3 linked regions of the Drosophila melanogaster genome follow. The protein of the gene in region 3 purifies or fractionates together with the protein of the main gene of each other region. This does not show direct contact. Each region holds a gene or a part of one and is shown on either strand. Other genes may lie near its edges.

The links. The genes of interacting proteins can lie anywhere in the genome.
Region 1: the proteins of Treh (region 3) and Arc1 purify together in Drosophila melanogaster (affinity purification with mass spectrometry, with the first as the bait; one large-scale study listed by BioGRID). This does not show direct contact.
Region 2: the proteins of Treh (region 3) and Patsas purify together in Drosophila melanogaster (affinity purification with mass spectrometry, with the first as the bait; one large-scale study listed by BioGRID). This does not show direct contact.

What each region holds. Positions count from the first base shown.
Region 1 is NT_033778.4:14,357,276-14,361,866, forward strand, and holds Arc1 (Activity-regulated cytoskeleton associated protein 1), read right to left. Parts: upstream 3,023-4,591; 5' UTR 2,926-3,022; coding exon 2,161-2,925; 3' UTR 652-2,160; downstream 1-651.
Region 2 is NT_033779.5:12,100,114-12,105,126, reverse strand, and holds Patsas (patsas), read left to right. Parts: upstream 1-1,841; 5' UTR 1,842-1,982; coding exon of another isoform or gene 1,983-2,066; coding exon 2,067-3,632; intron 3,633-3,687; coding exon 3,688-3,879; coding exon of another isoform or gene 3,880-3,891; 3' UTR 3,892-4,362; downstream 4,363-5,013. Other genes in the region: ThrRS (Threonyl-tRNA synthetase), read right to left, coding at 6-439, 575-635, 1,071-1,232; Ced-12, read right to left, coding at 4,586-5,013.
Region 3 is NT_033778.4:21,078,549-21,083,744, forward strand, and holds the start of Treh (trehalase), read left to right. Parts: upstream 1-2,059; 5' UTR 2,060-2,323; intron 2,324-5,196. UniProt on the Drosophila melanogaster protein: Enzyme that cleaves trehalose to produce 2 glucose molecules that can be used by the glycolytic pathway.

The DNA.
Region 1 (4,591 bases), 6.7 Mb from region 3:
GCTGTTGTACTTCGATATCAGCAGGCTTTATTTATGTTAGACAATCGGGACCCACGGCACGTCGATAATTGGATACTTGGCGATATCGGTATTTCGGCGGCGCCACTTTCTTAACACATTTTTCAAACAAACTTTTTTCGAAAGCACACACAAAATACACGAGATATTGTTAGTTAATTTCAGACCGTTCCGTCCGACCTCGAAACTGCAACTGTATAAAATTAAAATTACTTTGACACAATGACTAATGATGTAGCATAATTTATTTAAATATCATCAAAAATGTAACAAGATGTAATCACACAACATCTGACTTCTGATTGGGATATTATTAGTAGAAAGTAAATCCAGTTAGATTTTAAGTCTGATTGTAGCCACTTGAAATTATTATACATAACGTCTAGAAGGGCTGAGACATTTAATTATATTGAAATAAAGAAACCAGTTTTAATATCATTTAATGTTGTATTTTTATATGGCATATTGTAATATTCATTTCATTCGGTGGAGCATTTATTAAATACGTGAGCTTTGTAGAGCTTGGCTAATTGCATTTTTTCTTATATTATATCAACTTTTGTTTAAAAAAATGATTCCCTGTAAAAATGTTGTCCCATCCACCCCATAAAATAAAAACAATTACGCAGTTTTCCGTTTCTGAGTTTAATGGTTGTTTTCTAGTTTCAGTCTTTAGTTTTACAGTTTTATATTTTTAGCAGTTCCACGCAACCACTTGTGGTCTTCCATAGGCCCCCACTCTGGGTTTCTGTGTGGGAATAGCGGGCCAAACTATTGCTGTGCTTGTGGCCAAGATTCCAGTTGATGGCGCACGGTGCAAGTCTGGTCAGCCGGGTCAGTTGGCTGGTCGCGCCTATGTCATCTGCACAAGCGGCCGGTTTTGCTTGGTGTGGGGGCGGGGAATGACTGTGCCGGCTGGAGGAGCACGGCAGTGACGCGTTCCAGCCCCTGACGTTTGTGTGTTTTGGGTTATATACTGGCGTGCCGAAGCCTGTCGCGAAATCGCTTGGGTCGAATGTTAAACAGCCCTAGGCCCGTGATCTCGAAGAGACAGTTTTGGCGTGCCAACCGCACGGATGGCGAATCGTTAGCCATCGTAGTGCTATGTGGGTTCGAATTGTTTTGACAAAAGTCAAAAAATTTGTTGGTTTTTTAAATCTCCGAAGAAATTTAGGTTTTGCCCGGCTCACGCCCACTGTAGCTCCACTCGCACGGGGGACATCGCGAAGGGTTGCGACACCGGAAACCGGAAGCAGCCGAAGCCGCTACCGGAAACGGGTGGCGCCCACCTTCAGGGCCGTCGAAATCCTCCTGCAAAAGGATCTAAGTGGGCATTCACCGGGCGGGGGGTTTTTTGCTAGCTTCACAAAGGACCAGGATCAGACGAAAAATCAGCAAATATATGGTTACAATAGCGATGATTGCCATGTCTCTCAACACAGTGATCATATCTTTTGATAGCCAAATAATCGCTTTTTCTCCGCTGACCGGCACAAAGTGGAGCCGGCGGTTGTGAGAATCAACGGTTGTGCGGGGCGGCTGGAGATCAGGCAACATCCATTTCAGACTCGCAATGTCAAAACATAAGATTCGAAGAAAATGGAGCTCCATGCCGAGGCACTTCACCCGCCATTTGGTTCGAATATCATATTCCTCCATTGCGAATAACCGATCTTACGGACGAAATGCCAGATCCTCAGCCGCCCCGCCCGATGATTCTCGAAATCTAGTTTCTAGTTGCAAATAAAGGTTCAATGTTGCAATAAAAATTATTGCTTTCCAAAAGCTGGCGTTCTGTGCCAAAGTAGCCGCAAGTCGGCGTGAAATTATATGAAAATAGAGCCGTTTTCGAGGCATTGCGAATAGCAATACAAACAGCGTGGATTTGTGGATTTCAGAAGCTAGTCGAGGCTTACCGGCACGCCGATTGCCAGTGAGTATGAAGAGTATGAAGAGATGTGGCTGCTGTTGCTGCTGTTGATGTGGCTGCTCCCCATCTCCAGCTCTCCGGTTGTTGGGCTCTCTCTGACGTCGATCGGCTGGCGAGGCTACGAAAAGTTCTGTTTGGGTGGGCGGCAGCAGCGATGAGGTCATCAATGACGTTGGCTGCTGCCTGTTGGTATTTGATGTTCTTTTTGTCGCCTACTCCTCGTGCTGCTCCTCCTGCCGATCCTTCTGGCGCTTACGGCAGTTGTCGAAGGTGTGCCCCCGGAAACTGCAGTAGGTGCAGCGGGTGGTGCGCTTGGAGCCACGGGTGTTCTTTGCTGTGGCAAGCTGTTCCTCGTCCTCCTGGTTGTTGTGCTCGATGATGCGGCCCTGTTCCAGGAGATCCTTGAAGGTATGGACACTGTGGCGGGAGATGTGCTTGCGGTACTTGATGTTCAGCAGACCGAACAGAAGATCCAGTTCCGTTTCCTCGTCGTGGCGACCGCTGGGCAGCTGGGCCAGCAGCGCTCGCTTCTGGATGACGAAGGTGTCAATGGGGTCATGGTCGTCCTGCTTGTTTTGGAAGAATTCCATGTAGATCTGGTAGGCGGGCTTGGTGGGCGAGAAGTGTTCGCGGATGAGAGCGATGGCTTCCTTCCACGTGGTGGCCTCCTTGCGGACGCCTTGCCACCAGGTGCTGGCCATACCGTAGAACAGCAGCGAGATGCCCTTCAGGGCGTTCTCGTCGCTGATACCTTCTACATCCTTGTATGTCTCGATGTTGCCGATGAACTCCTCGACCACGTCGTGGTCGCGGGTTCCGCCGAAGCTGTGTGTGCAAGCGGAGAAGTTGCCTTTGCCTCTGCTGGCGTCTGCTCCTCCGGCTGCTGCTGCACTTCCGGCGGCGCCCACGGCGGCCGCTCTTACAGCTTCGATCAGCTCGCGGAGCTGCTCGTTGGTCATCTGTGTAAGCTGGGCCATTTTCGCTGCTGTGTGAGGTTAGGTGATCAAATTAATCTTGGTTCAGTCGGCGGACAAAGCCAGTGTAGCGAATGCGGCCGGTGATTTGAACTGAACAGCTCTCCCACATTGCAGCCCTTTTATATCCGCCTGTTGTGAAATCGAACTTCGAAAAAGCTTGAGGCATTGGGGAGAGCCAATAAGAGAGGGAAGGTCTATGTTTTTGGTATTATTGCTCAGAGTGAATCATCACGAAACGGGTGGCGCCCACCTTCAGGGCCGTCGAAATCCTCCTGCAAAAGGATCTAAGTGGGCATTCACCGGGCGGGGGGTTTTTTGCTAGCTTCACAAAGGACCAGGATCAGACGAAAAATCAGCAAATATATGGTTACAATAGCGATGATTGCCATGTCTCTCAACACAGTGATCATATCTTTTGATAGCCAAATAATCGCTTTTTCTCCGCTGACCGGCACAAAGTGGAGCCGGCGGTTGTGAGAATCAACGGTTGTGCGGGGCGGCTGGAGATCAGGCAACATCCATTTCAGACTCGCAATGTCAAAACATAAGATTCGAAGAAAATGGAGCTCCATGCCGAGGCACTTCACCCGCCATTTGGTTCGAATATCATATTCCTCCATTGCGAATAACCGATCTTACGGACGAAATGCCAGATCCTCAGCCGCCCCGCCCGATGATTCTCGAAATCTAGTTTCTAGTTGCAAATAAAGGTTCAATGTTGCAATAAAAATTATTGCTTTCCAAAAGCTGGCGTTCTGTGCCAAAGTAGCCGCAAGTCGGCGTGAAATTATATGAAAATAGAGCCGTTTTCGAGGCATTGCGAATAGCAATACAAACAGCGTGGATTTGTGGATTTCAGAAGCTAGTCGAGGCTTACCGGCACGCCGATTGCCAGTGAGTATGAAGAGTATGAAGAGATGTGGCTGCTGTTGCTGCTGTTGATGTGGCTGCTCCCCATCTCCAGCTCTCCGGTTGTTGGGCTCTCTCTGACGTCGATCGGCTGGCGAGGCTACGAAAAGTTCTGTTTGGGTGGGCGGCAGCAGCGATGAGGTCATCAATGACGTTGGCTGCTGCCTGTTGGTATTTGATGTTCTTTTTGTCGCCTACTCCTCGTGCTGCTCCTCCTGCCGATCCTTCTGGCGCTTACGGCAGTTGTCGAAGGTGTGCCCCCGGAAACTGCAGTAGGTGCAGCGGGTGGTGCGCTTGGAGCCACGGGTGTTCTTTGCTGTGGCAAGCTGTTCCTCGTCCTCCTGGTTGTTGTGCTCGATGATGCGGCCCTGTTCCAGGAGATCCTTGAAGGTATGGACACTGTGGCGGGAGATGTGCTTGCGGTACTTGATGTTCAGCAGACCGAACAGAAGATCCAGTTCCGTTTCCTCGTCGTGGCGACCGCTGGGCAGCTGGGCCAGCAGCGCTCGCTTCTGGATGACGAAGGTGTCAATGGGGTCATGGTCGTCCTGCTTGTTTTGGAAGAAGTCCATGTAGATCTGGTAGGCGGGCTTGGTGGGCGAGAAGTGTTCGCGGATGAGAGCGATGGCTTCCTTCCACGTGGTGGCCTCCTTGCGGAGGAACCGCCACAAACTGTGCTCTCCAATTATTCAAAAATGTTGAAGAGAGAGAGAGTGTTGGATATTTTTCGAAACTCGAAAAAGCTTTTACTTACGGA
Region 2 (5,013 bases), on a different chromosome or scaffold from region 3:
CTTACACCCTCGCCCTCCAGATGCATGTCGTAGTAGAAGCCGTTTTCAATGGGCGGACCGTAGCACAGGTGTCCACCATAGATGCGCTCCATGGCCTCACCCATGATGTGGGCAGAGCTGTGCCAGAAGACGGCCTGCGCCTCAGGGTCGTCGAACTTGAGAAGCTGCAGGGTGCAGTTTCCCTCGAGCACACGGTCCAAATCCCACACCTCGCCGTTCACCTTGGAGATGACGGTGTTGTCAGCGAGACCCTGACTAATGCCGCGGGCCACTTCGTACGGAGTGGTCTCCCAGGAGGTGGCGTCCACCTGCTTGCCATCGGGCAGTGTCACCTTGATGGGCTCACGCTTCTTGGCCGCCAGTTCGGCCTCGTATTCCGCCTTGCACTTCTCCCAGAAGACATTGCGCTCCTCGATGTACTTGGGCAAGGGACTGAGTTCTGAAATCAATATAGCAGAGATCAGTGGAATTTCAGGTATTAGAGAGAAGAAGGCAGCTAATCTTAAAGATATGCTACATATCTTACAGACGGAAGTGCGTTTTGTGTTTTTAATTCTTAGTTAGAATTACTTACCCTTGCGAGTATCTCCACCGCCGGATGGCTTCTCCTTTTTCTCCTTCTTCATCTTGGCAGCCTGCAAATCCATCGGAAATAGGTTAAAAATCAATATAAACCGGAGATATTCAAGTGGCCACAAGTGTGCTACGTATGCAATTAGACAAATGCTCTTTTTCGGTATCTACTTTCGACTGATGTTTTCTTATTGTTTAAACAATTGGGGACATGGCAATGAGCACTTTTCGGTGCTATGTTTTCGGTGCTCCTATCTCTGTTTTATCGAGCCGTCTTTGAGCGTATCTTCGTCGTTTTATGGCTGATGCAATAGAGTAGCAAAAAAAAACAGACACTCATGAAGTTGGTTGGTTGTTAGTGACGTCACAGCCGGCGGCACTGATTCATTGGAGAATCGCATACACTCACACAGACAAGCATAACATTTACACGTGCCAGCAGTAACAGGCGTTTAAATTGAAGTTTAGGTCAATTCTTTTTAGCTTAAAACACCAACCAAAGTTGCGTAGCTGTGTTGTTGTTGTTCTTTCAATTGTGGTTGCTGTTGTTGTTGTTGTTTTGGTGGCTTCGACTGCGTCTGAATTTTCGGCAAAATCCACTGGCAAATGCGGCTTATTTGGCTATAATATCTGCCGCCCTGCGGCGCCAACTTCAACATAATTCGGCTAACTAGCACTTCTCATACACTCGAATGCAGTTCGAAAAGAGTTTAACATGCCTTTTGATTGTTCAAATCCAAGTTATTTAGTTCCGTCACCACGTTGTCGCCCATTTTTTACGAAACAAATTTATCAAAAAGGGGCACAGTGTTACCAGGTGGCAAAATAACAGAGACATGGGAACCTTACAAAATGCAATGCTAGCATCAGTTCAAAATGCAACATTCGTACCAAGCAATATAGTAGTATACATTTTAAAGGTTTCTAGCGGCGGAAAACAAATGTTTCCCAATAATGTTAAAACTAATATAAAAGTCAGTTGATAAACCTTTTTTTTTTAGTTTGCTTATGCCACGAGATTTCTAGTATATTTAAGTTAAGCTAAATGATACCTCGGTTTCAACAATTGACCTTCCAACAAATTAAATATATATATTTTTTCTTTAATACTTCTTGACTTAAATCTTAAATCACCCCTCGCTGAGAAAAGTCTTAATTACCAGTATGTGTTGGCAACACTGCGCGCCCAACTGCGAAAATAACGGTCAGCTGTTGATTTGTTTGGCGCCAAGTCGAGTTCGAAAGTGGCCCCAATTCGAGTCCTGCGATTCGGGACAAATATTGATTTTCTCACAGTGCTGACATAATTTCCTCGCCATCGAGTGCAGTCGTGTTTACCTAGCATTCCACGCCTAAGATTGGCCAAACAGAGTACAAATTTCGGTCGGAGCGTAACGGAAAAAGGCGACAAGATTGCACACCTACTGGAAAACCCCCTGCATCAAGGCAACGGTGGAACGGCGGACCGTCTGGGCGTGGACTTCGAGTTCTACATGGCCTCGAAGGTGCATCCAAGTCCGGGGGCGGCGCGCAGTGTGTGGGCGTTGCCCCTAACCGCCTCCTCCTCCTGCAACATGGTCGTCGCGGAGGAGGATGGCCATGCCCACGCCGACGACATCCATTTGGATCATCGACCGCATTCGCCGCCATTAACGGGTCGCGGCACGGACGGTGGACACGGCAGTAGCGGCGTCGAGGACCACGAAAATGTGCTCCTCTTTGAGGGGCTCGATGGTGCCACCACCGTGAGTTTGGACGACATCTTCGATATTATCAAGAACGGAGAGGTCAGCGAGGTGGAGAATCTCGTGGACAAGTTCGGCATGGAGTGTCTGTCGGCCAGGGATCGTCATGGCTACACGCCAGCCCACTGGATAGCTCTCAACGGCAATGTCCAGCTGATGCGATACCTCATCGAACGCACGGCTCCGATCGATCTGCCCTGTTTGGGTACGCAGGGTCCACGGCCCATTCACTGGGCGTGCAGGAAGGGTCATGCGTCCGTGGTGCAGGTCCTCCTCCAGGCTGGAGTTGCCGTCAATGCGGCGGACTTCAAGGGACTTACACCCCTCCATCTCGCCTGCATGTACGGCCGTACTGCAACGGCGGCCTATCTTCTTGGAATGGGAGCGCTGAACAACCTAACTGACATAAACGGCGATACGGCACTCCACTGGGCAGCGTACAAGGGACATGCCGATCTTATGCGACTCCTCATGTATTCCGGCGTTGAGCTTCAAAAGACGGACAACTTTGGATCGACTCCACTGCATCTGGCTTGCCTGTCTGGTAACATGACGTGCGTTCGCCTGCTGTGCGAGAAGTCCCAGCTGGATCTGGAACCGAGGGACAAGAATGGAAAGACGCCGATCATGTTGGCACAGGCTCATCAGCACCAGGATGTGGTGCGCCTGCTGTACGGCGAGGTGAAGAAGAAGTCCCGTTGGATTCCCTCAGTCTCGGAAAGTTGGGGCTGGCTCTTTGGCGGAGCTGGAGACTCCAAGGGACCGCTGTTTCTATTTCTCTTCTCTGTGCTACTTTGGGGCTATCCCATGTACATGATCCGTGCGATTCCCATTACGTGGAACATATTGAGACGCTCGCACTATTGCTTTATATACTGGAACGCCGTAATGTGGATAAGCTGGGCCATTGCCAATCGCCGGGATCCGGGGTATATACCACTCAGTTCGGATGCCTACTACCGGGCCATCAAGCAGATTCCGTACTTCGACAAACTGAAGAAGCGAAATGTGATGCTAACCCGACTATGTCACAGCTGCAGGTGCCTCCGGCCGCTGCGAGCCAAACACTGCCGCGTGTGCAACCGGTGTGTCTCGTACTTTGACCACCACTGTCCCTTTATCTACAACTGCGTGGGACTGAGGAACAGAATGTGGTTCTTCCTGTTCGTCCTCTCGGTGGCCGTCAACTGCTCGTTCACCATCTACTTTGCCTGCTATTGCGTGATGATCGAGGGCTTCACGATGCTCTATGTGCTGGGACTCATCGAGGCGGTTGTGTTCTGCGGCTTGGGTTGGATACTCACATGCACTTCGGTAAGTGCTTCTTTTCCAAAAATATTAATCGTTTTGACATCATTTGCACTGGCAGATCCTGCACGCCTGCATGAATCTCACCACAAACGAGATGTTTAACTACAAGCGTTATCCTTACTTGCGGGACAAACGCGGACGATATCAGAATCCCTTCTCGCGTGGTCCCATCCTGAATTTACTCGAATTCTTTGTCTGCCTGCCGGACCGGGGCGATGACAACGATCTCCTGCTGGAGGATAACATTTGATTAAGGATCTAGGATCGAGCCCCTGCTCGCCGGCGCAAGCTGCCCGTGCGTGGATAATGTTGCGAGGAGGCAGCCAGAGACCCACTCGGGTAGGCTGCCAGTTTGGTTTTGCTCCGCAGGCTTACTGCTTACTCGAATGCTTTAAAGTTCGAACCAAAGGTCGTCAAGTGCGTGTTTTATCATTTACAATTGCAATCAACATATCCTTGCGGAAGGACAAATCGATAGCAAATTCCAAGTGCAATTCAGAGCATCAATAAATTACATTGCTAAGATTCCATTATTGTTAACGGCTCCAAATCAATTCCTTCCGCAATGGTGTTCAAAGCATCGGCCAGCCGTGCTTTTTGCTTTTTTTAACTAACTAATTACCTTTTAGGCTTGGATAAGAATACGCTTCTCTTGTTAGTTTTTGTACAAAATTGTTATGTATAAAATGTGTTATTTAATGATCTCTATATATTATATACCTATTATAATCATAAATGGTGTAAAGTTCACTAAATGGCTAGGCAGCGGTTAGTCACTTGGACGTGACCGTCACCAGTTTGTTCATTTTGTGTTCGGGGAATTGCACAAGTAATACTAGTAGAAGATCAGATCGGAGAATACGATTATGTTGTGTGTACACTTTGGCATGTATCTTGGGTGATGGGGGAGTCTAGAATGAATCGAATAATTCGTGAAGTAATTGTGCTCGTTATGCTTAGCTCTCAAAGCAAAAATCATAGTTTTCGGGATCCTCCGGTATTGGCGGTGGGTCCTTGCTGATGTCCACACCTTCCGTGTCCAGCAGGCGCAATTTGATCTCCATCGACAGCAGAGTGTCGAAGTCCTCGTTCTTTTGCTTGCTGACCATCGGTTGACCCAGCAGCGCGTTTATTCCATCCGTCCAGTAGTTGAATATGCTTTCGTCGGGTGCCACAAAGTCCAACGTAGAGTGCTCCATGTTTTCGAAGGTGATGGAAAAGGCCAGGTTTACCGCCGATTTCCGAATGCGAGTTTCCTTCATATGCGGGCATTCCTTGCCCTCTAGCAATTGCTTAATCTCACTGATGGGCAGTTTCTTGGGCAACTCCTCCATGGTGGGTATTGTCTTCTCGTCGCAATCTCCGTAATGAATCACCTTGTGAT
Region 3 (5,196 bases):
AACTTTTCGTGTAAGTATCGTATACGTGATTTTTTATGTAGAATGTGTGTATAGTTAGCAAATATTACTGGTAACAGATCAAATATAGAAGAGAAAACTTGAAATGAATGTTTTTAAATTTATTACTTAGCTGTTCTTTTTATATGATCTTATGCTAAACATCGATTTACAAAAAAATATCTCAATTTGTTATATGGACTTGCAAGTTACTGAAAAATGTATTATAATTTATTATCTATTAAATGTCACTACCCATCCACTTAAGTTACTGTAATCATTTTTGTTGTTTTGACAAATAAATTCCAGTTAAATAGGAAAAAACTAAGCCCTGATTTACTTGCACTCATTTGCAATTAGTTCAGACTCAGTGTGATGGCTTGTCTATTATAGAGACTCCTATAAATAATAATCAGTTCTAGAAATTATTTATATTTATGTTCGTAAAAAACCACAACGATTTAGATTATTTAAATGTAAAAGCTATTAATATTAACAGTTTGCGTTCTCCTGACCAGTCATAAGCGAAGCAAATGTAACTGACATTTGTTACCGTTTATTGTTTGTCACGAACTCAGTTAGATTCACTTCTCTGTTTCAGAGCTGATTTGCGATTGGTCGTTGCTTGGCGGTGTGTCCATGTCGTATACGTAATGTGAAACGGATTAGCTCGTTAAGATCAGATTGGAACCAGCTGTTGAGCAGAAACGGCAGTCACGTTTATAGCTCTCTAGCCCAGCTAGATCGCAAATTAATCCATTATCAGTCACTTTTCTTATCAGCCCAGACAACAACAGACCAACTGACATCGCATCAATTGAGACAGATCCTCCCCCTGTTGAACGATTTCATTATTTCTGAACTTAGTACACACTCAGCTTGTCATGCATATCACCAAGTGTCTATTCAGATTTTCCCACTCCCGGGCGCTCCATTGGGCTTCGCAGAAACTAAATCAGTATGCGATTAGGAGGTGCATCAGTCACCGAAGGCTCAGGTGAGGCGAGATAGTCTGACACTGATAAAGGGCCCGTCCTGCTATGGCACGTTCGTTTTAGCCAGATAGAGCGATAGACGGCGAGCCTTCTGAATCACCTGATGCTGTCTCATCCCCAGAAACTACTCACACTGCACAAAAGTCAGACTTTTCAAGAACAATTTCGATATTACACTCATTCCTTTGCATTGATTTTAAATAATACGTCATTTCCATAATACGACGTTTTGAATAAGTGGACTCATTTGACCGGAAATGGGAAATATACTCACTTCATACTTTTAATAATAATGCGTTCATTCAAGTAGTAACCAACGTCAAGTTCTAATTACGAGAACATATCTTCTTTTGCAATTGAGTCCAATCCAACTCATACGAACTTGAATTCATTATAAAATACGCTGTGATGTATGTAAAAAAATAAATTAGTAATGACTACACTACTACAAATTCTTTCATTGTAAATGTTTTAATTTACAATTCCTTAAATATGAATAAATTTTCTAAACAAAACTAGTTTTAGATAACATAGTATTTATTTGCTTTAGAGCCAATTTCCTGCCTATCTCAATAATGAATAATCTTTCTTCCAAATCAAAAATTATTTATAATCGTTTTTGGCAACAATCATAAGTTAGTGAGGGTCTTAAATACCACGTCAATTCATTTCAGGGTGATTCTATCTTATCGCCCTATTTTCGAGATTTCAGAAGAGCGAGGCTTTAGAAAATCAGGCTAAAGTATTTACGGTTTCCTTTTCACCACGGCAAAATGAACAAAATTTTCCATATTGGAATATAATGAGACCCTAGTGCTTCGCCAATTGTATAATTCTCTCTACTGCCCAATAATTTTCTCAATCAATCAATGCAAATGTGACAGAGTTTACGCATCAATAAATCTTATTTATTTGCGTTCTCAACTAAAAAGGCAAACAGAAAACACGATTTTAGCCAATTTTCAGCTGTGCTTCAGCTTCTTTCCCCCAAAGGGAACACTTGGTAACTCTGTTCCGGGCGGATCTTTGCGAAAATCTTATTTAAATTTAAATCTCCGGCACTTGGATCGAGGCAGTCGGATCGTTGCCTTCAAACGATCAACATCGCAGGGGCTTTATGGCGATAAAGCAGCGCTTTTGATTAGGAACGAGAGTGTATATAGTCCGCGTTCACATCTATATACATATAGTAATCTGGTGCACAAAACAATACAGATAGTGAGCGAGTTATAAAAACTCGTAGTCAGCTCAGCAAATTGCCAATAATAAAAGTGAGTGAAATGCGAAAACAAACTACAAATTAATTTGAAACTGAAAAAGTACCTTTACAAGTAATTGTAATTTGGTTTGTAACTCTCGACTGAAAAATACAACGCGAGCTGAATATACAAAAGCAATTAAATTATAATTTTCAATACAAATTGCTGTGGTTGCTGTCGTTTTCCCTCATATCTGCTGATATTTTCCCTGAGCTTTTTTTATCGCGTTGAAAACGTGAATTCTCGTTATTTTTACCACAGATCAGCGACTTGCGGTGTCAGTGATCTGTGGTCCCTGGGTATTTAGAATTTAAATGGACTTGCGGACAGAAATCCCACACCGAATAGTATATAAACTGCTGTCTAGTGTCAACGCTTCAAGTCTCGTTTTTGCACTGCCAAAAACCACTTTTTTTTTTATTCCAATATGAATTGCAGCTAATTTGAACTGTGAATTTCATTAGGAATCGAGTGAATAGCTGAAAGTAGCTGATCCAGCCCGACTGGAAGATGTACACTTTCTGTTGCTAAACCTATTTAATCTTATCAATATCAATATCAATTTCATTATATTCTTTCTAAGAAAGTTTCTAAGTTCTTTCTATATGTGCACTTCAAGCTGCTGACTTCAACGAGGCAATCAGTTTTTTTTTTTTATCAGTATCCCTGAACTTGTCCAAAAACAAGTTAAGTGCACTTAACTATATAGAGGTGAAATGATTCTTAAAACTGAAGAGCCTTGAATGCCGCTGTATTTCAAGTGAAATTCCATCAGAAGATTACTTCAAGATCTATTTTCAATATCAATGCAATAAACAATGCCCATGATAACGAATATTTGAGTTATCTTCGAGATTAAGTTCAATGCTTTCCAGTTTTATGAGCAATCGATAAACCTTTATTGTCCACTTGAAGATTGAAGATTAAGGCTCCAGTGGTTCATAATGTTACTAGGTCAAATTTTCCCCTTTATTTAATTAAGATTAAAACGCAGTACTTAAGCCACTCAATATGAATCCTTGTATTGCAAATCATTTTATTTAATTTGTTTAACTTAATTACTAATTATTTCCCTCACGCATGAACGTTTCGTTTGCAGCTAACTGCAAACCTTTTTACGATTCAATAACCTTTCGAAGGCCTTTCGATCGGCATTTGAACGGCTAATCAAAGCAAAAACGCACAGTATCTAAAACAAGTTAATTCAACCTGATGCAAGTTAATTCTTAATGACATTACCTGTTTTTGTGTGTCTTGTGTGTTTCTTCGTTTTCCTCGCGGACTTTTCAACATGTCATTCCAAACCCATCAGGCATTTGTTAGAATTTTCGACTAAGCCAACAAACCGTGCTTTATAATGGCTAGTTGAGTGATTAAATTAATCGGCAATTATACGAACGCGTTGAATGGCCCACATAACGATTAAAATCGTCCTTGAATGATTTTGGCAAAGTTTTGTTTTTCAAGCCCAGTTCAAAGATCTGAATTAACTGACTTTTGGCTATTGTATTCAAACAAAAACGTCATGCGAGGCACTTATCACTGCCATCGATGACGACAATGAAATTTTATAATACACATCTATATAAACAAATCATAAAGTCACTGGCAAACATAATAGCCCAACTAAATGGTGAGAGTGCGAATAAGCATTCAGAAAAGTTAATGATTTCGTTCACGCACCTTAAATTGTTGTTTAAACAATAGTTGCTTCATGATCGGGCTGCATTTTTATGATTTATATGGAATTTAAGACGGAATTGTGTGATTTTTGAGTAATGCGGAATCGGAAGTCCACGTAGGGGGGAATTCAAAATTCGAAAAGTTGTTAATACAATAATGTTTTCCAATGCCTGACACGTAGGGCCAGCTGTAGCGCCTGCTATTTGTCATCCATGGTTATCTGAAATGTTTTTCGAAAAGAGCCATAAATCAAATATTGGTTGAGTACGCCGAGCGGAACAAGAAAGTAAATATCTACAAAAAACTCAATGGAGTGTGTCTGGAAGTGTAGTAAGTGTTATAAGTCTATGATCCCAACTTGCAAATGCCGAATATGACTTCGCTAATGGAATCATAAATACTAACCACTTGTGACGTATGTATTAGATCAATGATTTAGTTGCACCTGCTAGTTGCTGTCGTCACAGAAAGATTGAAACAATGAACTTCTCTCTTTGTGGTTCTCATTACCGTGCGGCTCAATTTAAATTGCACAATTGTTTCGCCTATTTGAGTTCCCTTTGTTTTCTGATGCCCCATAGGGTTATATCATCGTAGTGCGATAATTCATCATACACTTAATGTTCCATAAAATACATTTGTACATTTCGTGTGCAATATGGTGGCCTTAGCCGTTCGAGTTTGAGTTCTACTGGCTTCCGATAATGGCTCTCCAAGCTGCGCTTAAGTTTTCCAATCCCATCACATAATCCCCTTTTTGCGACTCAAATTTCCAAATATGACGTATCTGTATATCCATACATTCGTTAATCTCTCGAAAGCAATCCTTATTCAGCGAATCAGTTCAATGAAGACTCGTTATGTCGGTCCACAGAGTGGCATTCGTGCAAAACGTCGCAATTCCGGTCCAGAATTTGGGGCCAGACGACACACGTGTCACTAACACACAACCCACTCTAATTATAGACTTGAAAATGTATCAGCTTGATTAGTTTGGATATAAATAAAATGTCAGGCGAATGTCACCATTCTTCGGTGACCTCAAATCGGGTACAGCGCGATTAAACCGCACTGCAATGCAAATCGCTCAGATATCGGGCTATACTCATTAAATTTCTGGATAACTGGTTAGTTTCCAATTCCAAAAAAAAGTTTCCACACTTGCCATCGTAAGTGGAGCATTACCTATTAGCATTTAAACTAGGCCTAAAATCCCCGAAAATTACTTCTTATCAGTAAGTACAGTGGGACCTTGCTCAGGC